Linked DNA regions of Tamandua tetradactyla. The protein of the gene in region 1 interacts with the protein of each later gene in a pairwise test. Links are inferred from orthologs where the notes say so. Each region holds a gene or a part of one and is shown on either strand. Other genes may lie near its edges.

The links.
Region 2: the proteins of CALCOCO1 (region 1) and CEP19 interact in binary tests that used the Homo sapiens proteins (3 or more experiments, as listed by UniProt). The two-hybrid records come from large-scale screens. The link is inferred for Tamandua tetradactyla from reciprocal best matches to the Homo sapiens genes CALCOCO1 and CEP19.
Region 3: the proteins of CALCOCO1 (region 1) and CWF19L2 interact in binary tests that used the Homo sapiens proteins (3 or more experiments, as listed by UniProt). The two-hybrid records come from large-scale screens. The link is inferred for Tamandua tetradactyla from reciprocal best matches to the Homo sapiens genes CALCOCO1 and CWF19L2.
Region 4: the proteins of CALCOCO1 (region 1) and DUSP13B interact in binary tests that used the Homo sapiens proteins (3 or more experiments, as listed by UniProt). The two-hybrid records come from large-scale screens. The link is inferred for Tamandua tetradactyla from reciprocal best matches to the Homo sapiens genes CALCOCO1 and DUSP13B.

The regions. Positions count from the first base shown.
Region 1 is NC_135333.1:115,162,574-115,169,809, forward strand, and holds the start of CALCOCO1 (calcium-binding and coiled-coil domain-containing protein 1), read right to left. Parts: upstream 3,022-7,236; 5' UTR 2,918-3,021; intron 737-2,917; 5' UTR 724-736; coding exon 568-723; intron 238-567; coding exon 135-237; intron 1-134. UniProt on the Homo sapiens protein: Functions as a coactivator for aryl hydrocarbon and nuclear receptors (NR). Recruited to promoters through its contact with the N-terminal basic helix-loop-helix-Per-Arnt-Sim (PAS) domain of transcription factors or coactivators, such as NCOA2.
Region 2 is NC_135336.1:16,998,508-17,005,488, reverse strand, and holds the start of CEP19 (centrosomal protein of 19 kDa), read right to left. Parts: upstream 3,013-6,981; 5' UTR 2,710-3,012; exon of another isoform or gene 2,697-2,709; intron 2,100-2,696; exon of another isoform or gene 2,004-2,099; intron 1-2,003. UniProt on the Homo sapiens protein: Required for ciliation. Recruits the RABL2B GTPase to the ciliary base to initiate ciliation.
Region 3 is NC_135334.1:34,509,625-34,516,708, forward strand, and holds the start of CWF19L2 (CWF19-like protein 2), read left to right. Parts: upstream 1-4,072; 5' UTR 4,073-4,127; coding exon 4,128-4,220; intron 4,221-7,084.
Region 4 is NC_135339.1:21,488,097-21,494,940, reverse strand, and holds the start of DUSP13B (dual specificity protein phosphatase 13B), read right to left. Parts: upstream 3,013-6,844; 5' UTR 2,868-3,012; coding exon 2,515-2,867; exon of another isoform or gene 2,479-2,514; intron 1,953-2,478; exon of another isoform or gene 1,894-1,952; coding exon of another isoform or gene 1,838-1,893; intron 1,724-1,837; exon of another isoform or gene 1,662-1,723; coding exon 1,488-1,661; intron 1-1,487. UniProt on the Homo sapiens protein: Dual specificity phosphatase that dephosphorylates MAPK8/JNK and MAPK14/p38, but not MAPK1/ERK2, in vitro. Exhibits intrinsic phosphatase activity towards both phospho-seryl/threonyl and -tyrosyl residues, with similar specific activities in vitro.

The sequences.
Region 1 (7,236 bases):
TTTCTCATTGTATTCATTTGCATTTATTTTCCCTTGTTGCCTGTGCCTGACTTTTATGTTTCTGAGCTTAACGCATTCTTCCAAATGTCTATCCCCTTTCCTCCTCCCTCCTGGTTTTCCATCTTCCCGTGTACCTTGGAACTGGACACTGGCGTGGATAGGGGAACCATCAATTGTGCTTTCTGGCACTGAAGACCACACAAATGTGTGGTAATCCCGAACACAGGCAGCCTCCACCTGTGAAAGCCCAAGATGGGAGAAGGGTACAGTGATAGCACTACCACCTATGCATGGTAGAGAGGCTGAGGGATTGGACGAAGGATAGGACAATGTTACAGGGCAAGGAGGATGAGAGACAGGGCAAGTGGAGGGACACTAATATGTCAGGGGAGAACAAAGCTAAGATTGGGAGGAGACTAGCTTAGCTTATACAGATGGCCCTTGTCATCTGTAGTATCTTTCTCCCTTTTCCTCAATATGCAGTTGAGAGTCCAAGAACCTAGTCATTCCCCTTATTCCAGCAACCCATGGCCCCTAAGCTGGATCCAAAAGGGGTTCCAGGGATACCTTGAAGATGCCAATCCAGTCACTGGCACTGGGCACAGTGCCTGGGGGAAGAGTGTAGTGACATTCCACCTTGGTGTTGGGGATGTAGGTCCGGGCTACATTCAGAAAGTTGACTCCACCCCGGGATGGTGCCCGGCTTAGGGATGATTCTTCCATCGTGCCTGCCTTCCTGTGAAAGAAAGGGTTAATATCCTAGAGTCTCCATTTTCTCAGAACCATGCCTCCACACCTAGAGATGAAGACAAATGGTTTCCAGCCCCTTTTAGGATTATAGGACCCTTTAGAGGTACACTCTTAGTCCCTAGGATGTAGGTCTGGCCTTCTAAGTCAGTACCCACACTGTCTTACATTGCGCCCTCTCTGGCTCATAGACTTTTTCCAGAGTTCAGATCTCTCTAATTTTGGCTCCCTTTTTTGTCACCCCATTGACCAGGTATCAGTACCCCAGGCTCTTTTCAGACCCTCTTTTTCACCTCTTACCTGCCTTAAGCTTTCAGAATTCTCCATCCTCCATCTCCCATCCCATCCCCCACACCTTCTGGCTCTTGAATTAAAAATCCAACAAAAGTGTGGTGCCCCCTCACTCTGAGCAGGTCTACTTACTCACTCCTGAGGTTGTTAACCTAGCTGCACCTAGGAATGACTTACGACACCTGAAAACAGCAACTAAACTCTGAAAGGAATGACTGAGTCTTCAGAGCTGGATTATGGTTAGGAGGGCACCAACACCCGAATCCTCAGACCTCTGGGCTCTCAGTTCTCTTCCCCATTTTGAGCTGTCTACCCCCATGAATTCTGGGGTAGCAAAAAGCCTCTGTTCTCATCCAAGAGACAAAGGGAAAGGGAGGATATAAAGAAAGACAGGTTTCATTCTTTCACTTCATCACTCCAGGAAGTCAAGAATTCTGGAGGCGGCTGCTTAAGGGCGACACACTCAGCTGGAACATGGTGGTGTGGGGGAGATGGAACGTGGGTGTCAGGAGACAGGAAAGGAAAGTACCACCCCTGGGCAGGGAACGTAGAAGTAGGGGAGCCAGAAAAGGGGAATGCATATTTAATACTGAGGGGTGGAAGAGAGAGTTTTAAAAAACCCTACCTTGCTTCTCTCCAGATCTTGTCTGGAACAGGACTAGGAACCTACCGGTTTGACCAGGTGTTAACCCAGCTCTAGTACGTCCCTCCTCCTTTTCTCTCTGTTCCTCTAGCCCCAGTTCTAAGTGCCTGAATCCTTCCATCTGTTTGGATTGGTAGTTGTAAATATGCTTTAGGATGGTATTGAGAGGAAAGTTGTTCCAATTTAGTTGGGGAGAGCTGATGGGGAAAATATGGGGATAGAGTGAGGACAGATAATAATAACAATAACAATCAAGAGAATTTAGCTCAGAGCAGTGAGGCGGCCCCCTTTTTCATCCTTCCCCTCCAGCCCACTAATCTGCATTCTGCACCAGCCACAGTTGATAGCGTCCAGTGAGCCATCGCCAATAATTATGGGCACGCCCCCAAACATAAAAAAAAAAAAAAATCCAAAACACCAGGCTGAAGTCAGGGTGGCAGGGACTTTAAAAGAAAACAGAAACTCAGTGGAGAAGGAAAGGTGTGCTAACTCGACAAGAAGGAGTGACCTCTTCCCAACTAGAGACTGAATCAAAGACAAGGAGTTCTTTGGATTTTCATGTCTCTGAAAAATCCCTAGTTAAAACTAGCTCAAGTTTTTCCAAATATAATTCTTTTGGCTTTTTAAAGGGGGTTGAGTTATTCTCAAATATCTAAGCCTGGGGAATCCCAAATACTCCCCACAAATAAAATCGGTAATAGCTGCCCCAGGCCTAAGAGAAAGCTCTGTACACCAAAGCCGTTTGCGTGCAGCCAGATTCAGGGGGTTACATGGGGCGGGAGAGTAAAGCCCACTCCGTAGGGCTCTAGAGTTCTTTGACATTCTACAACTTGGAAGGTTTTTTTTCAGGCACTCAGCGTAGTCAAGGCCTTTGGATTTGGTGGAGTTGGTGGTAGTGGTGGGGCGTTCGTGAGGGGAAGTTTGTGGGGGCTACGTCTCGCCTGGGAGAGAATGCGCAAAGATTTCAGCCTTCCACTCCCCTAAGCGCATCAAGCTTATAGAGAAGGACTGAAAGGAAGGTGAGGACAGGACAGCGAGGGACACCTTTTACTAAAGGCCCCCTTGAAACCAAGAACTCCCAGAAGAGTGTGGGTGGCCTCACAGAAAGTGTTAAAACCCAAACGCCCCTGTATCCCCCCTTCCTACAATTCCCTTAGATTATCCTTTCGCAACATGGAAAGAGGGGTGACCCCCTCCCCACATAAAACAGTCCCCAAATTAGGCCAAGTTTCTTACCCCACAGACGGATCAGCTGTTCCCTCACCTTTCACCAACAACAAAAACAGCACTCCGACTCCGGGAGGGGAGGGAGAAGAGTGGGCACGAGGGCTTCTGGGGCTTGTGGTTCTTTCGCACTGTACACCGGAGTACTGCTCGGGTCTGGGACTACACATCCCAGGAAGCTGCGCGCAATGAGGGCGGAGAAGGGGCGGCCGCGTCTGTGGCCTCCTCACGGCATCCTGGGAGGCGGAGTTTCACTTCCTTGACAGAAAACGAGGGTGTGGCCACCAAAGGACTCCACTTCCCATGATGCCGTAGGAGGGGGCCCGCTGCGGTAGTGTGGGTGCTGGTTCGCAGCGTGCATTGTTGGCGGTATGGAGCATTTATAGCTATAACTTCTTTGTAAATCTTTAGGTTTGATAGAACGCTTTTTGATACCTCCTCCCATTCAGTTTTCACAAGAACCCTGAGAGATATGCATTGTTGCTTTCCAGATGTTATAGATAAGGAAACTAGAACTCAGAAATTTTAAGAAACCGGTCTCTGTTTGCTAGACTCTAAATCCAGTACTCTTTCCACCACACCACAGCTACCCACCAACTCAGACGATGGGAAACGAATAGCTGTGGTACCCGTTTCTTTTTTGCTTCAACTCCAGGGACCCCTTGTAAAAACTATATGAAAATGGTCAGCACTAACCATTTTCTTCCAACTTGAGGATTTTAGAGGCAAGAAGCCTATCAATATGCACAATTCCCCTAGAATGGCCTCTGGATCTCTGAAGAGGATGCAGTTCCTGGAGTGTTGGTGGTGGGGGCGGTGAACAGAGGGAAATAAAGTTGAAAGGGGAGCCTGGCATAACTCAGGACACATCAAGACTCACAAGCTACTTATATGGTACTGTTTACCCAAGCCTTTTAACTGGCTTAAATTATTTAGGATAACAATAGATGCTGTTGCTCCGGTTTTTGTTTAGGAGAAGTGAAAGAGATTCACACTCTCCCAACCCCTGGAGTCAAGTTAAAGACTTGGGAATCCTATCTATTCCCCACCCCCAACCCCCTCCCCGCCTCATTCAAAATTATTTTTCTGCAAACCCTGTATTAAGGGATTACAGGATTAATTTGCTTTTCTTAGGTGCCTGCTTTTAATTCTTTGTTGCACTAAGTCATGAAGCCTTCTGGCTTTTCAGAGTTTTGGGTGGTATTTTGCTTTTATGACTGTGAATGGGATGTCTGGTGCCTGCCCTTGGGTGTCTTTCATCTGAAGATCTCCAAGCATTTGACAATAAGTCACTGGTCTGCACAAACATTAAGGTGACGGGTCTGTGTTATTAGTCAAGATTTATGAGTTAGGGAACAAGTTGCTGGATCAGGAAATGGCTCGAGGTCCTGGGGTGGATTAAGAGTGGGGCCTGTTCAAGGACCCAATTCTCAAGTGATCTTGGTTTTTGTGTTCTACCCAGCATAAAGACCTATAAGAAAACTCAATCTCAGCTGGAGCTAAAAATAATAGCAATTTTTTATTGGGTGCTTAAAATGTGTTAAACCACACTAAGAGCTTTTTACCTTTAATACTCACAGCAACCTCTGTATAGGACTCCCTATTACTATCCACAGTTTGCATATGATGAGATTGAGGCATAATTAAATGATTTGCCTGGGGTCATCCATCCAGTAAATGGTAGAATCAAGATTCAAGCACAAATAGCTAGTATACCATACTCCCACCGGCTATTGGTATTTTAACTCCTATTGTTTTAAGGAAGAGTGCTGTTAGTCAATCAGGGAGTAAATGTTCACTGAGCATGTATGTGCAAGGCACAAGGTAATGTGAAATGTTCATTCAACAAATACATGTGTCAGATATGCAAAATGTATTCAATAAATTTTGTTGAAAAAATGAATGTAAAATATAGATATTTGAAGGCTGGGTTAGATTTAGATGGTTTAGTAGGACAGGGACTGGCAGAACTAAACTCATTCCAGACTGAAGCAAAAGTCTGTCGATGAGAATGTATAATGCTTGCAAGAGACTAGGGAGTCACATAAGAACAGGAAATAAATTTTAACTTTTTTTTTGTAGACCCAGATTATTCGTAATGGCTGCCTGAAGCGTCGTGTTAAGAAGGATTCTGAGGAAAGAGTGCTATAATTAATTAGTATTGTTTCCCATGTACTCCAGATAGAAGATGGGAGTTTTGCATTAGATGGATTTATTGTTTAAAATTAAACTCTCTCCTTCCCTGCCCATTACCATGTGACTTGCAGTACCTCCTGTTGATGGACTCATGCCAGATTTGAGCATGTGAATTTCCACTTTATTGTTCTTCCTCTCTGCCACTAGAATGGGCATGTTCCCTTTTGCCTGGGTGTTTGAATGCGAAGACCTGTGGAGCAGAGCTGCAGCCTAACCATAGCCTATATATACATAAGACAGAAATAAACCTTTGTTGTTGTAAGCCACTGAGATTTTGGTAATTGGTTGTTACTGCAGCAAAGCTGACTAATATATCAGGCATGAGCCAGACCTGGATAATAGAAGATAAAGATATAAAAATAAGTTTAAGCCAGAGTATGGAGAATCTTGAATGCCAGGTAAGGCAGAGCCTGCTATGTGTTTATCAGAATGTGTTTCTTTTCTTTTTTTTATCACACTGTTTTAGTTTGTAAGCTGCCAGAATGCAATATACCAGAAATGGAATGGCTATATATTTTTCATATGCTATATGGCGGGGATCACATTTCATTCTTTTTGCACATGAGCATCCCATTATTGCTGCACCATTTGTTTAATTTATTGTTTTGTTTGTTTGCTTGTTTTTTGGGCAAGTGCATGGGCTAGGAATTGAACCTGGGTTTCCTGCATGGCTGACGAGAATTCTACCATTGAACTACCCTTGCACCTATGAAATGGCTTTTAAAAAAAGTTGCAAGTTTATAGTTCTAAACCTATAAAAATGCCCAAACTAAGGTGTCTAGATAGAAGTATTTTGGTTCAAGAAAGGCCGCTAGGTCAGGAACACCTCTATCAGATGGGAAGACAGGTGCCTGGCATTTGTGGGGTCTCTGGCTTCTCGTTTCAGATATCTTCTCCAGGGGCATTTTCTTTCTGCATCTCCAAAGGTCTCTGGCTTTGTGGGCTCTGTTGGCTCTAAAGTTTTTCCAAAATGGTTCCCTCTTAAAGGGCTCCAGTAAACAAACCCACCTTGAATGGGTGGAGACACATCTCCATGGAAACTATCTAATCACAAACCACCCATAATTGAGTGGGTCACATCTCCATGCAAACAATAAAAAAGATCTCACACAGCAATACTGAATGAGGATTAAAGAACTTGGTTTTTCAGGGGTACATAATAGGTTCAAAACAGCACATACACAGACCACATTTTTCATTTTCCCTTCAAGGGATGTGTTCCACTTCAGTCTCCTAAGAGAGATCCTTTATATTCTTTCCTTTCAGGCTTGATGCAAATGACCTTGAACCCAGTGACTTTGAAAATCGCATGTAAAAGATAATGGAACCACAGGATGGAAAGAGCCTGGTTCTCTGAACCACTACTTGGCGGAGAGCTGCCTACTAATCAGGATGTGTTTTTGGACTTCATTTGACCAGTAAATCATTTCTATTTTGTTATGTCACCAAAATATTGGGCTTTAACTTTTATAGTAGTTAGTGTTTTCTTAACCAATTCATGAGAAGCTAGTCACTGAAGATTTTTCAAACAAGTGGAATAATACTGTGAAGACAGATGGAAGTAACAGCTACAGGAATCAAAGCATACTTCTGGGTGAGGTTGTAAGGACTTAGAACTTTTGGCGTTTTCATAAAACAGTTCAACTCCTGACTTGAGGCAGGGGGATGGGTGACATGATCTTTGGACGACTCTCTAGAGGCTGTGGAAGAAGCTGCTAAAAAATGAATCTTATTTTCCTGAAGTTTTAAGTTTCTTTTTTCTTCTGTAAAAATCTTAACTCCAGATTAGCCCAGTGCCTGGCACCTAATACATGTTGAATGGAAGCTGCTTCTGGACTCTGGGAATGCTTAGAGGAGCCACTACAAGTTTGGTGTCTATTATATGAGAGGTGCTCTCTCGACCACTGAATCTTAAAACCATCATGCAAGATGCTATCCAGATTTTACGGATGAAGAAACTGAGTCTTTAAGAATAACTTGCCCAAGGCCAAATAACTTGCCAAATCTTGCTCTGAAACTCATACCTTTTCCTCTATAATAAGATACTTTCTCAGAAAATAATAATAGCTAGTATTAAAAAAAAATAGCTGTGTGCCGACATTCCACCGGGTGCTTTACAAACATGGAGAAGCAGC
Region 2 (6,981 bases), on another chromosome or scaffold:
GTACCTGTTTACTTCAATATATTAATATATGACACTGCCCCTGTACAGCCTCTAAATGTTTATAGTCTAGAAATCTGATTAAAAAGGTCAATGTGGTGCAGAATCAATTGGCCTCTACATATAGTAGACAATAATTTTCACCTGGCTTTCATTTCAGCTTATTTGTCTCACTATATAATATTGTTTTCAATACCAAGAAACGGTACTTTTCGGATTAGTACTTCCAATCCCAACCCCAATACCAAAATACACTTAATTACAGGGACTGCTTTAGATGAGACCAAGATAATCTTTGGAAAATTTGTAAATATCAAGAAACCTTGATGTAAAATGATATATGATGATGACATCCTCATAAACTCAGTTCTGTTAGAGAATCACTATAGGAACATGGTTTAAAAAAATTACTTAAATAACAGAAATACATATTCATGTTAGAAAACTGGGGAAAAAAGGAAACAAAAATAATCATCCATAATTCCTTCCAGTCTTTTTTCTAGGTATATAATTTTAGTTTTTTAAGCTACAGTATATTTTTTATGTTATACATACTATTTCCTCCCTTTTAAATTTAACAACGTATGTGATTACTTTCTTGTTAAATGTTTTACTAAATTGTGATTTTTAATATGACTGCCAAGTGTTTTGTCCTATGGATGTACCATAATCTATTTTATTCACCCTTTATTGTTGGGCATGGGAAATTTTACTCTTAGGAAATGAACAATATTTAAAGAACTGCTTTTTTCTAATTATTGTGCTTTGCTCCTGACCTAATGATCCTATCTAATCCCCCTTTTTTGTTCTTTACAAATACAACTCCCAACTCACTTCACTAAATTTAGTCTGTAAGTCTTCCAGATCCTGCTGAGCACAATATAAACTCCAAACACTTAAGCAAATGGTTCAACTCATGAATGGTAATGTGCCAATTGATACGCTAATAAAATAGTGTTGACTACAGATACTTTTTTTTTTTTGCATGAGCAGACACTGGGAAACAAACCTGGGTCTCCCGCATGGCAGATGAGAATTCTGCCTGCTCAGTCACCATGGCCCGCTCTCTATTCTTTTAAATATAACTTTTATCTTTACTAAAGTAATATTTGTATGTTGCTTAAAAAATAAAATAATTCTAGGAGGTTATCATGGTTAGGGACATGTATCACCTTGGCCAAGTTGTAGTACCTGTTTATCTGATTGGGCAAGTGCTGGCCTGTCTGTTGTAATGAGGACATTTCATAGGATTAGGTCATGAGCGCCTCAGCTGCATCCACAGCTGATTCCATTTGTAATCAGCCAAAGGGGAGTGTCTTCTACAATTAGTGATGCTAAATCTAATCACAGAAGCCTTTAAAGGAGGATTCAGAGGAGACAGGCCCCATTCCTGCTTTGGCTGGTGAGCCTCTCCTGTGGAGTTCATCCAGACCCTCCATCGGAGTCCTTGGCTTCACAGCCTGCCCTGTGGATTTTGGACTCTGCGTTCCTGCGGTCACGTGAGACACTTTTATAAATTTTATATTTGCAAGTGTTCCCTGTTGATTCTGTTTCTCTAGAGAACCCTAACTAATACAGAGGTTTATAACAAAAAACTACTGCCCCTTGTTCTACCCCCTCTTATAGGCAACCAGTCGCAAGTCTTTTAGGTGTTTCTTCCAAAAATGTATCACCATATTTCTTAATAAAATACTGCTATTTTCAGTTTTAGATGTTATCTTTTTTTGCTGTTTTTTTGTATGCTGTATGGTAGGGTCACATTTCATTATTTTTCCATGTGAGTATCCCATTATTGCAGCATCATTTGTTGAATTTTTATTTGTTCGGTTTTGTTTTGCCTATTTGTTATTTGCAAAGTGCTTGGACCAAGAATCGAACCCAGGTCTCTTGCCTGGAAGGAGAGAATTCTACCCTTGCACTCCCTTGCTTTGTTTTTTAAATGTAATTTTACTGAGCCCTATTCGCACAGCAGACAATCCATCCAAAGTATACAATCAATGACTCACAGTAGACATTATCTTTTGATACACACTCTTCCTCTTTGAAGCATCCGTCTTGGAGCCCTTTGTTCTGCTCCAATCTACACTAGATGCTCTCTAGGCCTGCGGACAGAATCAATTTAATTCATGAAGAATAGTTTTTACTTTATTCTTCCTGGATATTAATGTTTTTTTTCTCTCCCGAAGGCTCGGCCTGCCATAATCTTGCTAAAGATCCCCTACGGCACCTAGAAAAGTATGGATTTAAAAAAAAATTTTTAATTGACAAAAATCTTCACACACATACAGTCCATACATAGTGCATAACCAATGGCTCACTGTATCATCACATAGTTGTGTATTCATCACCATAATCATTTTAGAATATTTGCATCACTCCAAAAAAATTAAAAAAAAATGCATACATCCCATATTCCTTACCCTCCCTCTCACTGAACCCTAGTATTTCAATGTACCCAATTTTATTTTACTCCTTACTCCTCTATTATTTATTTATTTTTTATCTATATACTTTTTACTCATCGGTCCATACCCTGCGTAAAAGGAGCATAAAAGTATGTATTTTGCCACACCAATGGCACCCCTCTGAGGGTGAATTATCCTCTCTCTACGCAAGACTTTCATTTTCCATAGGCTCCACTAGCACAAGGTTGACTATCTTACTCTTAGAAAAGTACAGAAAGTGCATCTTATACAGACCAACATCTACAACCTCCGTGCCGAGACGTTTCCATCCAACTGCAGCGCACGCAAAGAGCCCTTATCCCCACACTGCGGCCAGGAAGAAGCCAGCGCTGCAGGAAGAAGAGACAGTCATGGCCCGCAGCAGGGGACGTGGGTGAACTTCCGGCACGAGGCCTGAATCCATAAATGCGTGGAAGTGGAGGGTGAGAGCCCAAGCGCGCTGAGCTTGCTCCTAGGCCTACCCGCCGGGTTCAAACTCCACCTGGGCGCCCACAGAACGTGGTTTCCACAGCAACAGCCCTGGGTGCACGTCACGGCGCTTGCGCCACTCTCGCCCCGCCCCAGAGAGGAACGGTGAGAGGCGGGGCCGAGGGGGCAACGAAGGAGGGGCCAGGTGACGGGCCTCACGGGGCTCCGGAACCTTCGGGGGCTGGGGCTGTGAGAAGGGGGGCGAAAACCGCGGGACTGCAGTTGTACTTGCACCGAACCCTCCGTCCCGATCACTAACTCCGTGGCATCGTGCTCTAAGGAGCGGCGTTAGGCGTGTGCAGGTTCCTTCCTCCATCCTCTTTTCGTCCCTGCGCGCCCCACGGGCACACGCCCTCCGGCGTTCTGGCTGCTCGGGCAGTGGCTGCCCGGGCCGTGGCCTGGCTGCTGCTCTGGGCTGCAGCTGGGATCACCCGCGCTCCTGCCTGGGCCTTGACCGCCGCCTTCTCCGACGCTGGTAATGAGAGGGGCGGGGCTGCGGGAGTGCGGGCGGAGTTTGAGGGCCGTGGCCGGGGACAGGCAGTCGCGACTCCGGGGGTCCTCTCCGCCCCTTGACTAGCAAAGATGTATAGTGTATCCCGGCGTGTGATCTCAGAACTCCGGGGTGAGCTGAAGGAGATTAAAAAAAAAAAGGGCCCCTACCTTCCTCGTCTTATGGCTTTGTCCGCTCCTGAGTCTCTGGAGAGCCGGGCTTTGTCATTCCGAGGCGAGGGTGACGGCACTGTTCTAATCCAGAAAAAAGGTGTTTCCGTGAAGTGCCTTCGGATGTGTAAAGCTCCTGACCACCAAGGGGTCAGCAAGATCTCAACGCTCTGTGAGTTGCGAGCAGCCCAATCCAGAATGCAGAGACTCTAGGGAAACGACTAATTTAGTTTTACAAACATCTTTTTTAAGGGTTTCTTTATGATTCCTGGGTGAGCAACGAGTTGGTTCACTTTTTTGATTCCGTGTCAGTGGCCCGAAGTGCTTGTTAGGTGCTGTGGATGAAGCCCTGAGCCAGCCAGACACGGCCTAACATTGTGCAGTTTGCAATGTGATAGGGGAGATTGACATGTGCAGTAATAATTGCAGCTAAGTGATCCTGTTTGCCAGAGGAAGGAAAGTCAGCGCAAACCAGGTGCGTTCTCTATCCTTAAAGTAAGGCTGTTAGACTAGTGTCTGTCAAACAGTGCAGCTCTCCTTTGTGTGTTTTACATACTAGGTTCCAAATTTATTTGAGGAAAGGATTATAAGGCCAAAAGCATTCTCAGACATCTGAACTTGGTTATCTCTAAAGACTCTTACTGCACTGACATTTTATGATTAAAAAGGGGTCAATTTTCAGAGCCAGTTCAGATTATCACATCCGAATAAAGTAATATTTAAGGAGAAAAAACCCTGAAGGTGAATTCGGTTGTAACAGACTCATTTGGAAAATGGTGCTTTTGTCTTAAGAATGATAAATAGCATTTGCTATACTGTTTGCAAATTAGCGTCTCCACCATCCCGTGGTGAATGTGATTTACTGCTTTCTAGTGTGCATCCCAATAGAATTTAAGCGTACTTATCTGACTTTTTTCTAAAATAATTTATAGGGAGACAATAAGCCTTTACTCCCCACCAACCCCCATTAAAATAAAGCATTATGAAGACAAATCTGAATTTGTAAAAGAGACATATAGGTTATTTCATTTGGGAGCGTTTATATGCTTCTCAAAAGCAAATAAGCATTCCTTTAAATAAATATTAAGTAAAGGAGAGAAATCTTAGACTTTAAAAATAAGCAGCAAATATCCTAAGTGGAGTGGAAGAGAGAGCAAAGTTGATGGTGGAATTATACAGAGAAGGTAGGGTTTAACAAATGAGTATGATTACTGAATCATTATATTGATATTTTAGTTTAGAGCAGCTAGAAGTAGAAACCTAAAATTGTGGAATTGTAACCCATACCAAACTCTGAAATCTATACTAAAACTAGTTGTTGCAGTGTGCTTTGAAATTTTTTATTTATTTATTTATTTTTATTAATTAAAAAAATTACAAGAAACACAAACATTCTCAACACATACACTCAGCAGTTCACAATATCACATAGTTGCATATTCATCACCATTATCATTTCCCAGAACATCAGCATCAATTCAGAAAAAGAAATAAAAAAACAACAGAAAAATATAACAAACAGAAAAAAAAAATTTATAGGCCATATCCTTTACTGATCCCTTTCATTGATCACTAGCATTTCAAACTAAATCTATTTTAACATTTGTTCCCCCTATTATTCATTTTTATTCTGTATGTTCCTCTCATCTGTTGACAAGGTAGAAAAAAGGAGCATCAGACACAAGGTTTTCACAATCACACAGTCACATTGTGAAAGCTATGTCATTATGTAATCATCATCAAGAAACATGGCTACTGGAACACAGCTCTACATTTTCAGGCAGTTCCCTCCAGCCTCTCCATTACATCTTGGATAACAAGGTGGTTTCTACTTAATGCATAAGAATAACCTCCAGGATAACCTCTTGACTCTGTTTGGAATCTCTCAGCCATTGACACTTGTCTCATTTCACTCTTCCCCTCCTTGGTGGAGAAGGTTTTCTCAATCTCCCGATGTTGGGTCTCAGCCTATGTGCTTTGAAATTTATTGCTTTTTTTGTTTATATGTTATTTTTCACAAAAAAGAAAAAAAATAAGTTAGGCAAACCTTATTTCTAATCACTTGGTTATGTAACTGAGCCAGTTACCAGCTCTTTAGTTTCCTCTTGTGTACTAATGGCAGTAGTTTTGTCTGCCTGTTTGTGAAAGATAAAAGAAATGAGTGATAGCCTGAAGTATAGGGTTTGCATATATTTATAAATATTTTTTCCTGTTGTTTTTTTCTTCCTTGCTTTGTATATTTTGAATATTTTCATGTCCGCTTCATTTTTTTTTTCATAAACCTTCTCAGGAATACTTCTCATGGTTCAGCAACATACAGTAATAGCCTGTGGTTTTCTGTGTTTTGAGTTTTAATATTCTTTGTGTACACCTCCAACTTTTGAAATTGAGATAAAGCTCCATGGAACAGTGCCTGCCAGTGTTAGCAAAAGTGCAGTTCAATAGTAACTGAATTTTTGGTTTTATGATGCTGACATTCATTAGTAGTTTTAATATCTGATTTCTGCATGGAGTCAGTATAGCCTAAAACAAGATATCTCATTAATCTAAGTTTATAAAGGAATGCTTTGAATTTTTAAGTGCCTCCAGTTACTTTTTGTTTTGTTTTTAATATTTCCAACAGCCATACAGGGCATAAATGTACCATCTTTCTTGTTTTATAGATTTGGGTGGCAGAAGACACACGTTACTAGTATGTGTCTGGTATGCAATTTCAGTGAGCTAGAATTAAAACTATTTCCTGGCTTTTTAGTTATTCTGTTCCTTTCGGTGTCCTAGGATAAGGTAATATTAATAGCAAACACCTGTATAGAGAACTTATTATGTGATAATAATACTGCCCTGCAGTAAGTGCTACTCCATATATTAATTCTCATGATTACTAGCAGAATAAAAATATCTTGCCCAAATTCACAGCTATTAAGTCACAGACCTGGATTTGAAACTAGGCAATCTAACTCCAGAATCGGTGTTCTTAACCACTATCCTATACTGAAAAGAGATTTATGTGCTCAGATTGTTTAAAGTTTTTGTTTTGTTTTTAGGATGATTAGATTTTCCAAGCAAGTAAAACTTATTAAACAATTATTTTATGATTATTTAAATATTATTTCATGAGTGTTTATTTTTAAAAATCTTTTGGTTCTTTTAGGCCTGAAAGCCGCTTGTTCTGAAATTAGTTTGAGGCAAGAAGTTTTGAAGGATGGTTTTCACAGGTAAGTTCTCCATTGATTTCTACTTATGTTAAACTATGGTTTCATGTAATTTAGAGCAAAAAATTGATAGTTGAAGCATGGATAAACTGAAAAATCACTTGATTTCTTTTTTTTTTAAATTTTTTATTAATTCAAAAAAGTTACAGGAAAGAAACACAAACATTCTTAGTATATGT
Region 3 (7,084 bases), on another chromosome or scaffold:
TCTAACTAATTTATTGGCAACATAAGAGTTACAGATAGGTTAAATGATACTATGAGGAAGCAATCAAATCCAGGATTCTACTACATAAAAAATTCATCCTGGTATTCACCATAGTAAGATACATATCTCTTCCTAATTCCCTTTTACATCTGGATCGTATCCTTTTACAAGGATTTATTCATTCATTTGTGGTTTGTTTCCCTCCACAAGAAAATTAGCTCTATTAGGGCAGGGATTTTAGTCTATTTCTGTTTGGGTGCCTAAAATAGTGCCTATCATAAATGTTTGTTGAATGAATTTCAAGGCAAATGGTGGCTCTAACAGAGAAAACCATAAGGTTTACTTGTTTGCCTCCTATATTAGACTCTAACTTTTGAGGTAAGGATTCTGCCTTTCACCTTTATAGACTCAGCTGTTATATTGTACCTGAAACATTCTATGTTTGTTAAATGTTTGTTGAATAAATAAACTGGGGATTGTCTAAGTCCAATCATTCAGTGCCTTGTACAATTAGGAGAAAAGAGTAGGCACTTTGGAATTTTATTTCCATAAAGTCACAAATCTGTAATTTTCCTTGATAGTCTTCTCTGATGAATCAGAGGAAGACTGAAAAGTCTCCAGAACAAGATAACTGAGGCAAAATTAAAATATCACCCTGCTTTTACTTGGAAGTCCACAAATCACACTGTTTCTTAGAAAATAACACTTCAGAGTCATCTATTTAAGGTATAACTGCTTTTACTATTTCACACAAAGACAGCAATATAATAAAAAACAAGTGCGAAAGTTTACCCTGTATTTAAAGAAGTAAAATAACATACGATTAAAAATTAAAATTAACTAAAAATTTGAGAAGCCTTTTTGACCAAAAGAGAAAAGAGAGAAATGAGACAAAATAAAATTTCAGTGGCTGAGAAATTTCAAACAGAGTCGAGAGGTTATCCTGGGGGCTATTCTTATGCATTAAACAGATATTCCTTTTTAGTTTATGGTCTATTGGAATGGTTAGAGGAAAGTACTCAACAGTGTTCCAGTAGCCTTGATTCTTGAAGATGAGTTATAATGACATAACTTTTATAATGTGACCGTGTGATTGTGAAAACTTTGTGTCTGATGCTCCTTTTATCCAGGGTATGGACAGATGAGTAGAAATATATGGATAAAAAGTAAATAATAGCGGGGATAAGGGATAGAATAAATTGGGTAGATTGAAATACTAGTGTAAGAAACTGTATATAAGCACTGTCTCCTAGCTGATAAAGTTTTCCACAGGGCCATGGGTTAACAATTCTGGCACTACTATACAACTGAACTGGCACTGAACGATTAAGTAAATGGGTGATGGCAGATGATGGGAGTCAGGCTCCTCACTGTTACTGTGGGAGGTTACAGATAAGCAAGGGAGGATGCTAGTATCAATCACTGTGATAATGGATTGCAGTTGAAATGGATACAGATTGTTACATATAGAAATATTTATAGATATGTGTACATACATGTTAGTATATACACATATCTGTTCTTGCTCTGTCAGTTGATAGGACCTAGAAACAACGCAGTCCAGTAGCAATTACCACACCTAGTGCACACATCTTGGCTTTTAATACCATTCTTCAATATGAGGAACCAGAGCTTCTCGGAGTAATACCTGACTCTGAGACGGGAGCAAAAAGTATTTAAGATGAGCCTGGAGGATCGGTAGTGCTAGAAAGTAAGGAAGTTCTCAGGAAAGACAAACAACAAACTCACAAAAATGGGGTCATATTAAAGGGACACAGGAGTCAAGTGAAAGAGCTCCCAATGGCAAAAGGTAGAACAATATAGGCAACAAAATAAGGTGGTATTGGATTATAATGGAATGTATAAAATAAAATCCATGAATCCATAACAACATGAATAAATTATTAAATATATAAATAAATGGGGGATGAGAGACAAATCTCCAAGATCTTGGCACTAAGTGTGCTTGTTACTATTGAACTACCTTTGTTTCTAGGTTCTCTCAACTGCCAGAGTAAGGAAAGCCATGCATGTATCCTAACCTGTGTTTGCACATAGGCAGAAGAATTCTAAATAATTTATGTAGCTACCCCACCTTCAAGGAGGTGGAACATAAACCCCTTCTCCTTATGTGTGGGCTGCACAAAGTGACTTCCTTCCAAAGAGTACAGTATATAAAGGGGAGAAAAAGAATAATTTTGCAGTGGAAAAACCTGACAAACACTGCCTTATCCAGGCTAACAATCTTAGTGATAATCATGTTGATAGTACGCATCCTTGATATGATGTGATTAAATGACACTTTATGTGGTCCTTCTAAAAAACCATTGCCCCAGTCTAATCATGAGTAAAATACTTGAAAAGTCCCAATTGAGGGGCATTCTACCAAATACTTGACCAGTACTACTGAAAACTGTCAAGGTCATCAAAAAACAAAGTCTGTGAAACTGTCACAACCAAGAAGCATCTAAGGAGACGTAATAACTAGGTGTATGTGGTATCCTGGAACATTAAAAGGACACTAGACATACATAATATGTATTTTCTGTATTCAAATGGGTATTTTTTAAAAAGTTGATTACCCTGAGGTAAGTACACATCTCACCCAGTTCCATTCTATTCCAAGAGGCTATCTGATGTAGAAAGGTGCGCGCTGACACTACTCCGTGGTTGCAGAGGGGGCATGGAGTCCTAGGATTTCTCAGAGCTTCTGGATTCCAACTGATTTTTGGTGCAGGGTGGTTGGTGCAGCCTGCCCCCATTCGTTTTGGTGGCAGCGCTCTGATTGTTGAACGTTTACAGTTCTGATAACTTTCCTGCCTTTAAGTTTAGTTATGGCTTTTTCCTTATGGCATGAACTTACTGATATTCTACTAATAAATTCCTTTCTTTGCTTAAATTTGTCAAATTTCATTCCAATTGCTTGTAATCAAAGAATTTCAACAGATAAAACCAATTAAAATATCTAAGGATTTAAAATGATATTGGTAATCTGATTTTAATGCTCATATTGAGGAGAAAATATGTAAGAACAGCCAAGAATACCTTGGAAAAGAATGATGATTTCTCCAACAGCCATACTATAAACGACAGTAATTAAAATAGGGTGCTATGGCTGCAGGAATAATTATCAATTGGACAAACTCCAGAAACAACCCCATAAAAACGTGGGAATTTAGTATATGCTAAAAGCACCATTTCAAATCAGTGTGGAAATAGTGAAACGAATTGACAAGGGTTTTTGAGAGTTTCGGATATCCATATGGAAAAAATGTTATAATCCACGAAGCTATGACTTGACCGAGACGATTTCTCTCTTGACCAAGCTACTGGCCTTGCCTCTCCTGCCCCAATACCTGCTTCCTCCCCAGAACTGAAACTGGTCTTGCACTTGTGGGACTGCAGAAAAAAAATAACTCAAGACTGCAGGAGGAAAAAAGTGGGGGGTGGGAGCGGAAAGACAATTTCAGATAGTAGCTACTCCATGTTATCAACTTCATTCTCCTTACCCTCCCCTTTTTCGCCAAGGGCTTACTGGAACTTTTTCACTGCCCTTGCCCTAAATATAAAATTCAACCAATCTCATGCCTTCCTCAGAATCGAGCTCTACTCTCTTTCTCCTACCGTGGTAGCTAGTAATGAAGTGCCTGTTCCGCACTGTCCGGTGCAGTTCTTTCTTCGATAGACTAGCCAGACACCACATTCTTTTCTCCCAGCAGCCGGAAACTCGTGAGAAGCGTAGTTTGGTGGAAATTTTTGAGAAGCACTGATTTAACTTCTATGAGTTTCTGTCTTACTCGTCTTACCCCAGTGAATTCAAGAGGAAATAGGCTAGAAAGCCGTTAGTACAGTACAAAGCGCAGAACAAATTTATATTAACATTAATTCTGCTCAGAGCGACACTAACACACTCAGAAGTGTAAACCTCCCGCAGTCTTCAATTCTCCACTAAAACCTGGAGCTGGAGTAATCACTGGATCCTTAAGCGAAACTCAGATCTGCGCATGCTCTGTAGGTGGAGCCGCGCCCTTCCTCCCCCTCGTCGGAGCTCCCGCTTGTTTACTAATTTACGACTGTCGTAAACTGGGATTTCCTGACGGTTCCCTAGCTTTACGTCGATAACAACTATGGCGGCCGCCAGTGGTAGATTTGAGAGTGAGAGGCGTATTGAAGAGCGTAAAGAACAGACTCGGATTGCCAGGGCCGAAGTGTTGCGCCAGGTATCTACCCCCGTTATGGGTATTTTGGAGCCTTCTAGAATTGTGGGACTGGAGGGAGCTAGCCGTTCAGCCCCCTCGTCCTCTGCCTTCAGTTCCACACCTTATTTGAGCGAGGTCTCCCTTTGGGATGTCTCCAAACTCTTGGGTATCGCTTGCATACTAGATATTCTGGCGATCCAGTTGCCGGTTCTCTTTGCAGGGTGATCTGTACTTCCTCAGAGTTTCCTTACCTCTTAAAATCACTCCTTCTTGACTTTTCTATCACCTAGGTTGCTTACTTTGAAGGGACGCCGCCAGTTGCAACGACTCTTCTGCCAACGGGCTTCCCAGCCTCAGTCTTCGCTGCTGATGTATTCGAAATGAAATTTTTTCATTTTGAGGAACATATGCAAGGCGCATTGGGGTAGACTGTATTTGACTGCTTTAATCTACTGTTTTACTATTGATATAAATTCCAAGCTTATTGTAAGCCCTTACTTATATAAACAAGGATTGACAAAGGAAGCCCAGACAATTTAGATTTTCGAAAAAGGTTGAGAAACATTGTAGTTCTCATTAAGATTGAAATACAGGGTGGGCCACGGTGGCTCAGCAGGTAGGAATGCTTGCCTGCCATGCTCGAGGACCCGGGTTCGATTCCCGGTGCCTGCCCATGTTAAAGAAAAAAAAAAAAAGAAAGCTTGAAATACGCATTATGTTACTACGAAAGAATAGAGGAAGTAAACTACACTGTGCCATCTGGCAAGCTATTCACGATATCAGAAGTTTGACAATGCAGAGGAAAAATTGTAGTTGGAGAACTACATAGGGTACAAGTGAGGGTTTTATTTTGGTTTGATATAAGACGAGAGGTTTAAGCGAGTTGAAATGCAGATGAGAAGGAGCGAGTAAAGAAGAAGAGTTAAAAGAGAGGATAATGACTACAGCCATATCTTAAGAGTAAGAGTAGGGTATTAGTCTTGTCACTGTGTTTCAAGCACTGTTTAGATGGAGTAGGGTTTGTAAACATTTTTTAAATCCTCTATTTAAGACTTATCTGCAAACTGAGCTTTATTTTCTTTTATTTAGTGCTCTTGTGAAATAATTTACTCGTTGGTATTTAAAATTTGTTTTTGTTTTTTTTTTGAGATTTCGGGCCAGCTTGTTGAATATAACTCAGGTAAGGAAGAAAGATTAATTTATGGGAGGATCAGTAGTAGCAAAGCAGTTCTAATAAGATTCTCTCGGTAGAGAACAGCAACCAAAAACATTAGATTGTTGAATAGAAATTATGAAAATCATTTATTTGTGTACAAACTAAGATAACTTTGAGAACTGACATCTGTTTGCAGCATTGCCGTTCATGTTGGAGGCTCATTAAGTGTTTTCTTATTGTAATGCATTTTCATATAAGTGGTCTTTCTGTTTGAGCTTCCTTACTTTTATTGGTGTGGAATAAAATGACACTCACAAATGCTACAAGAAGAAAACTTCCAGTTCACCTTCTGATGTGTTAAGAAATATCCAAAACTTGGAAATAAAGCATAAAGTGACCCTGTCCTTTTAATATCAAACTACAGAATTTTCTAAGAAGCCTGTTTAGATGATCATATGATTAGGGCAATGCAACTTTGTTTGACTATTTCCTATTGGTTATAGCTGAGACTTTGTAAACTTAGATATTTGCTTTTAGAAAGCAGGGAAGATATATTAATTATTGACTGTAGAGAATATATCCCCAAAGGCTATTCTTCCTTTGCTCTGTTGGACATTAAATGGGTTTGAATATATTTTAGCAGTCATATTCCAGCATTGTTTTTTTCCCTTGACTATCTCTAAGAGAGAGAGAGAGAGAGAGCGTTGTTTCTTTTTTTAAGCTGCATAATATTCCACTGTAATTATGTATCATAATTTATCTAATCAGTTTGCACTGAATTACATTTATTTATAATTTTTATTACAGAGGACTTTAATGAATAATGTCTGTAGTAATTCGTGTAATATCACTTGTACTATGTTAGTATTTTTTTGGATAATCTTTCATTATTACATTGTTACAATGAATAACCTTATATATGCTTATTTACATGTTATCATTTGCATATATATATATATTATTATATATACACACACACATATATCTGTTGGATACATCCCTAGAAGTGGATATATGCTTTTGTAATTTTGAGAATTATGACAAGGTTACTCACCATAGAGGATATACCAGTTTACTTGATTGTCATCAGTGTATAAAGTATTTGTGCATACTTTTGACATCATGGTATGTAATCAAACTTTTCAATAATATTTTAAGATGGCACTAATGTCACTCTTAGGACCTAATATTATGCTACTGATTGATTTGCCCACTTCTGGGTATTTTGATTATTTATTTATTTTCTAATAACTTCCCCAGAAAAAACAAACAAACAAGCAAAAATTATTCCCACCTTGGTTTAAATATTTCACATTCCCATCTACTCTGAATATTGTGTGACTGAGACCTATATCTTCCGTATGTGTTCTGTATGTATTTTTTCCTTTTTGATTTTCTTTTCATGTGGTTGCCAGTATCTGAAATAAGACACTGTTTTTATCAGTCTTGTAATATTCATTGGAGAAGTTTTGAAGCTGTTTTTAAAAAATGAATGTTAAAGATATTTGTTTTTAATGGCTTCTGTATGAAGCATTAGCATTTGTAATAAGTACCATAAATTCTGTGAGCTTTAAAGTACTGTAGAAGGAAAATCTGGGAGGGTTTTATGAAAAAGAAAGAGTATATTGCTTCAAATTGCTTAAGCCTATGGCATCATATGTTTTAACATCTTGCTTACAGGTTTGGCTGGAAAAGAAACAATGAATCCTTGTTAGATTCAGATAGTTTA
Region 4 (6,844 bases), on another chromosome or scaffold:
GGGGGATTAGAGAGGTGGGGTAGCTCTCACCCAGTCACCCCCTGGCCGGATTGGAATTTTCTTCCTTCCTCTGCATCTCCCTGCAAGGGTGGAGACTAGAACCAGTGAATTGACCTGGGGTGAAGTAGCTTTCATAGATGGAGTTTAAAGAGTCCCTTTCCCTCAGGCCAACTTTCAGGGAGGGAAGTTTGGCTGCATTCATCAAAAGCCTTAAAAATGTACATATACTTTGCCACAGCAGTTCTCCTTCTAGGAACTTAATTAAAGAATCCAAAATGTGCTCACGGACATATGTACGCTGAACCTAGTGATATTTAAATGGTGAAAAACTGAATGAAAAAAACCCCTAAATATCCTGTAACAGGAGATTAAGTATGGCATATCTAAATGATGAAATACTATGCAACTACTAATAGATGGAGATAAAGAAGCAAAGATGTTCATGCTATATTGGAAGCTTGTGAAAAACGCAGTTTACAAAACAGTGTATATAGGGAAATTCAATTTTTGTTGAAAATGTTCTAAAACGTGTGATTCTAGTTAAAAATCTTTCTATATAAAGCACACTATAAAACAGCATTATGACATAATACCAATTTTTTTAAAAATAATTGTAAAAAAGCATGCATGTGTATATGCATTTAAAAAAATTTACAAGGATTTTATTATTGGTTGTCTCTGTGTGTGTGTGCTTGGGGATAAAATACTGATCAATATTTTCTAAATTTTGAGAATATCTTCAAAAACCCATATATATCAATGCATATTTTTCTAATTTTTAGAGATAGTGACAATTCTGCTCTCTCTTTATATACACTCTGAACAAGCTTGTGTGCGCTCCCAGGACCCATGGGGTAGAGTGTGCCGAGCATCACTATTCTCAATAGCCCAAAAGTGGAAACAACTCAAAGGTACAATTGCAATAGGATGAATAAACTATGGTGTGTTCAAACGATGAAGTATTATACAGCAATGAAAAATGAACAAATACAGCAACACATAATAGTATGGGTAAATCTCACAATTTTGAGCAAATGATGCCAGGCACAAAACACTCACAGTCTTATTCCATTCATAAAACTTTAGGCAAAACTAGCTACATTGTTGAGGTACATAGATGATAAAACTATAAAGGAAAGCAAGGAAATGATTATTTCAACAGTCTGGATAATGGTCATCTACAGGGAGAAGGAATAGGATTTGGATACGATGCATTCAGCAGGCGCTTCTGCACAAGTTAGAAATATTTCTTGACCTGGGCAGTGAAACTGTACACGTATGCTCTGGGCACTTTTCTTATGTGTGTGTTATATTTCACAATTAAAAGTAATAATAATAAGGAAAGAAAAATGTGGACAGAGATGGTGAGAGGTAAAGAAGGGCCATCTCTGTCCCCACGACACCTGACGGCTCTGTAGAGGCCCAGTCCCCCACCCCCATGTGAGACCTTGCACCCCCCCACCCCCAGTGTCATGGACCTTACTTACGCGTCGCCCAGGAAGAGGTTGGGCCAGACCTCGTTGATGTGGGTCAGTGGGATGGCCCGGCGGGACCATAGCAGCCTCTGCAGCGAAGAAAGTGTGGGTGGCTGGTAGGGGGTCAATCGGACTCTCCCATGGATCTTGGGCCTCCGGAGGTCCTGTTTCTGCAACGAGTCCATCCTGGGACAGAGCACACACTGCGGTGGACAGATGCGGGGCAGTGCCCTGGTGCCACTGGGATGCTGGGGGAAGGGACTGAGCTGCTTTAAATGAAGCTAGTATCTAGTGGGGGCTGAAGCCTGGAACCATTCAAGAGAATCCCTTGTCGCCACCTTAGAGCTGGGCAGATATCTCACCTGCCCTTTGCTGAGGCATTTGACGTCAGAGGCTTTGGCCAAGGGGCCCCCAGCATTCCTGTCTGCAGCACTGGTTCAGGCAGACATCAGCCCTTAAGACGCTGGTCACTCGGGACTTTGTAGGGATGGACAGCACAGGTGGCTGCGGCCCTGAGAGGGCTCCGAGAAGGCCCACCCACCCCCCACCCCAAGGCAGCTCATCTCAAGCCCCTACCCCCCTACCACAGGCTGTCCTCAGGTTCCCATCCCCTTCCAGTTTCAGATGCATGGAGAGCAAGTCCCATCTGGGGTTGGAGTAGGGTTGTGAACCAACATTTGTTAGCATTTCCACACTGAATAATCTGAAGCCTCCTATATGTCTGGTGCCTCACAAACACTAACCCATTTATTTACTCTCTCCCCCATGTATGAGGTAGATACTGCAGTCCTTGTTTTCCACAGGAGGAAACTGAAGCACACAGAAAATTTTTTTAAGTGCCACCCAATGCCCTCTGGCTAATAAGTAGGGAAGCTGGGGTTTAAATCCAGTCTGTGCTATTCCAAATACATCCCCAGTTCTTTCAGTCACCATCTTTGGGGACCCCAGGGAAGGGCCGCTAGCTGGTCTGTCTGTGCAGGGAAGCCTGGCATTGAGGACTTACACATCTGCCTGGAAGCCCAGGGATTTTCCTCCTTACCCCCAGGACTCAGGCCAGCGCTGCAGGGCAGGCCTCACCCCGGCGGGGTGGGCTGTGTCAGGAGTCAGCTGGCTGAGGGAATCCGGCGCCCTGCACAGCTGGGGGGTCAGTGGCACCAGGACCTGAGTCTGGCGCCGTGATGGGAAGGAGTGCCCATCTTGGCTAACAATCTCTGGTCCCTTTAGCCAATAGCTAGGGACGGTGTAAACAGGGAGGAACGGTTTTTCTTTCTGGTAGGAGGTGCCTGGAGCAGGAAGAGAAACGGGCACCCAGGAGGCCACGGGCTTGGCCAAGCTCACCCAGCGGGCAGCAGGGGGACAGGGTGGGAGTGAAGACCCGGCCTTCCCCCTCATCCCTCACTGTGACCTCTCAGGGTGGGCTGGGTGGCCTGCCACCTACCTAGAGCATGGTCAGGGGTTGGGAGTGGGGGAGTGGGAGCAGGGGCAGGACTCTGCGTGTGAACGGAATGGGGCCAGGGCAGGTTCTACCCAGAACACACATGCTGTGAAGTGGCTAGAATTCCAGATCCTCCCCTTGGAGCCCAGGGGGGTGGGGCCTCAGAACAGAACCAGCCTATTGTGGACTGAGGCAGCGGTTGTCCCAAAACACCCAGACCCTCTCTCAGCTTGGCATATCTTTGGGATTGAAGACTCTTGGCCCCATAAACACCCCCATTCCCCCAATGAAGATGGGAGGCGACCTCAAGTGGTAGAAACAGAGTCCCAAGAGCCTGCCTCAGGCTGGGACTCTGCCACGACCCATTCTGTGACCAGAAGCAAATCTTGGCTCTTCTCTGGGCCAGTTTCCCTTTCTCAGGCTAAAGATTGTGGCCTTGCTTGACCAGGGTTAACTGAGGGTCTGACCTGAGGATGAGAGGAGTGGCTGGGTATGCAATGATGAGTATGTGTGTGTCGGGGTTGGAAAAGTCCCCGGACTCGAGGGAAGTCCAGTTTCCACACTGGTCTGAAGCCAGCAGCAGGGGCTGCAAGAGCCCCAGGCTGGGCTGGATGGAACTTCCAGAAGCCTGGCAGGTGGGGCTCTGGCCCGCGGAGCCTGGCGTGGGGTAACACTGCCTCCCAGTGGCCGGTGGAGGCTTCGCAGCCCAATCTCCAGACACAGCAGAGAGAAAGCTGGACCCCAGACCTCCTGGGGGCTCCAGGGAAGAGCCAGCTGAGGGGTCAGGAATCCGGGGTTGCTAGGCCACAACCCATGCCTCAGCTTCCTAGGAGCCGTAGGCCCACTTTTGGAGAATGGGGGCTTCTCCCTGGCCTTTTCCCTTTGTCAGGTCCTGTCTAGGGCCTCTCTCCCAAACCTCATAGCTATACCCACGCCTGTCTGCTCTGTCCCGGGGGGGATCCAGGATTGCCAGCCCAGTGACTTCTTTCCAGAAGCTCCAAGCTCAGACAAGGAAGGAGAGTCGGGGGGCTACAGGAGGCTTCCCTTGTTTCTGCCACCCCAGACCTGACTGCTGAGGGTCCTGCCAGACAGCGCCTTCCACATCTCCTCTGCCAAGCAGGGCGAAGCAGGGGCCCAGCATCCAGCAGGGACAGGCCCCGCCCCTGGCTCCCCTCTCCAAACACTCTAGTCCTTGTTCGGTGCCGGGGGCTCCAGGTCACCTTCTCCCTGCTGCTCCCACCGACGCTGAGCGGCTGCCTCTGTGGGCTGTGGTTTTCCCGTTCTCTTGTGTGGCTGCTGTTTACAAGTTCACACACTTGTTTTCTGTCTTTGTATCCCTCCTCCTCTCTCTGTTGCTCTCCCGTTTGTCTCTGCCTCGCTGCCCCCTCACAGGAAGCCCCTGCTCCTCCGCAGGGTCCCAGGAGAGCCCCCTGCATGCCCGTGGCCCCAGGCGGAGCACAGGCTCCCTCAGGGCAGGGGCAGCGGTTTGCCGTCCACCTCCTCAGCTGCTGCTCTAGACACATGTTCTCCCTCTGCCCCCTCCTCCCAGGGGGGCCAGCTAGGGCTGCACGTCTCAGGGTAGGCCCAGCAAGGAGTCTGGTGAAGGAAGCCTTGGGGATGGAGGTAAGGGGGTACCAGGGGTGAGCAGCTGGGGTTCTCACGCGTGGAGTGCAGAAGTGGGCAGGTAGTGGGCAGGTCTGGGTAGAATTCCCAGGTCAATGACTTGGTATATGTGTGCGGACTTCTCTGAGCCCCTCAGTGGGGCTGCTGTGAGAATTCCATGGGATAGTAAATGTGAAGTGCTCACCACAGTGGCTGCCTCATGGTGCCTCTTACTGGGATTACCAGTACTGTTGTTACTGCTATTCTTTTAAGCCTCAGCCATATCCAGGGCAGAGGGTTCCTTCAGAGACTTGAGTTCTTTCTTTTTGTGTCTCTGGATGATTCTTTCTCAGTACAGCAATAATTACTCACCACTTACTAGGATGTACTACATACTAGGCACAGAGCCAGGTACTGACATTTTCTCATTGAATCCTCACAGTATCCTTAGGACATTGGTAATATTTTCATCCCCATTTTATAGATGAGGAAACTGAGGCTCAAAGAGGTTAAGCGATATGCCCAAGGTTACACAGCCAAATTGTGTGGGAGCCAGGATTCAAACCCAGATCCCTGTGTTTTGCTTTGCCTTTACCTCTGACCCAGTTGGTCCCTGTTCTAGCTAGTAAAAGCTGCCCGAATGAGATATACTAAAACTGGAACGACTTTTTAAAAAGTGGAATTCAGTAAGTTACAAGTTGAGAGTTCTAAGGCCATGAAATGTCCAAATTAAGGCAAGGCTATAAAAATGTCCAACTTAAGGCATCCAACAGAAGTTACCTTGGTTCAAGAAGGCCAGTGATGTTCAGAGTTTCTCTCTCAGCTGGAAGGGCACATGCCAATGTCTGCCAGCTTTCTCTCCAGGCTTCTTCGGAGGCCTCCCCAGGGCTCTGTCTGTCCTGTTGGCTCTGTCGGTTCTGTTGGCTCTAAAGCGTTTTCCAAAACGGTTCCCTCTTAAAGGGCTCTAATAAGCAACCCCACCTTGAATGGGTGGCGACACACCTCCATGGAAATCATCCAATCAAACAAAAGTTACCACTCACAATTGGGTGGGTCACATCTCCATGGAAACAATGAAAAAGATTCCACCCAGCAATACTTAATGAGGATTAAAGGACATGGCTTCTCTGGAGTACATAATAGTCTCAAACCAGCACAGACCCCCAGCCCTCTCCACACTTCCCCAGTCCTCTACCCAACAAAGGCACTGGTGCCCTGACCCCTCATTACCCGGCATGCTCTGTGCCGCCACCCTGAAATAGGGGCATTCACCCACCTGAGGGGTTATCTTGCCCAAGCTGTGGTCTCCAATGGGCAATTTGTGCCATCGGCTTCCAGACGCCTGTCTCTACACACTTGATGCTGTTTCTATTTTTTGATTTGAGTTTAATTATAAAGCATGATGTACTGCTCCCCTCTTCCAACCTTCCCTTGCCACTCCCAACTCGCCCACTGATCCCATGGCTTGGCCAGTGCCAAGCCCAGCCAGGCATTCTGCCCTTTAGGCCTAGCCTAGGCCAGGCCACGCTGGGAGTAGACGCAGCATGGCACAGGGTGTGGCTGTGAGTTTGTGTGTACAATGTACGTTTATAGTGAGGCCAGGAGCAGGAAGATCCAGTGAACCATTTTAAGCATTCATGTGGCCTTCAGGGGTGGTGAGGAGTAAGGGGAGAAGGGTTAAGGCTGGAAGGGTCTTCTGTGGAGGAGGCTACTGGCTGGACATAAGCACAGCGAATTGGTGGATTGTCACGAGCAGGGCTCAGATTTGCAGGCCCTTAGTGGGGGATCTAGAAGACTTGGCTGAGGGAAGCAGCACAAGCAAACAAACAGAAAATGGTATCAGCGGGTTACGGAGCAATCTTTAGATCTTGGCACAGAGGCTGGAGGCCCAGCCTTGAACTGAAGTCAGAAACCATATGTCCAGGAGCCACTCCACTTTTTGCCAAGCTGCTTCCTTCCTCCAAAACAGAATCGAGTGTTCCTCGCCCAAGGCCCCACTGTCCCTTGAGGCCACTGAGATGGTTCCCAAGGTCCTTCCCAAGGCTAACCGGTCAGTTAGGGACCTTGGATTTGGGCTTCTTAATAACCCTCCCTGACTACCCAGAGACCTGCTTCACATACACCATTCCTCCATGCACCTCCCCACTTGCACACAATGGGCATACACAAAGACATGACACCTACACTGGGGTCTCTGAAGTTTGAACTCAAGTCAAGGTCCCAGGCCCCCCTGGGGCTCCTGGAGCCCAGGAGAGACCTCAGAGAGGCAGTTTGCGGCCAGGGGCCATCATGAGCACTTAGAATCCCCTCCCTCTCTGCTCCTTGGCCAGGA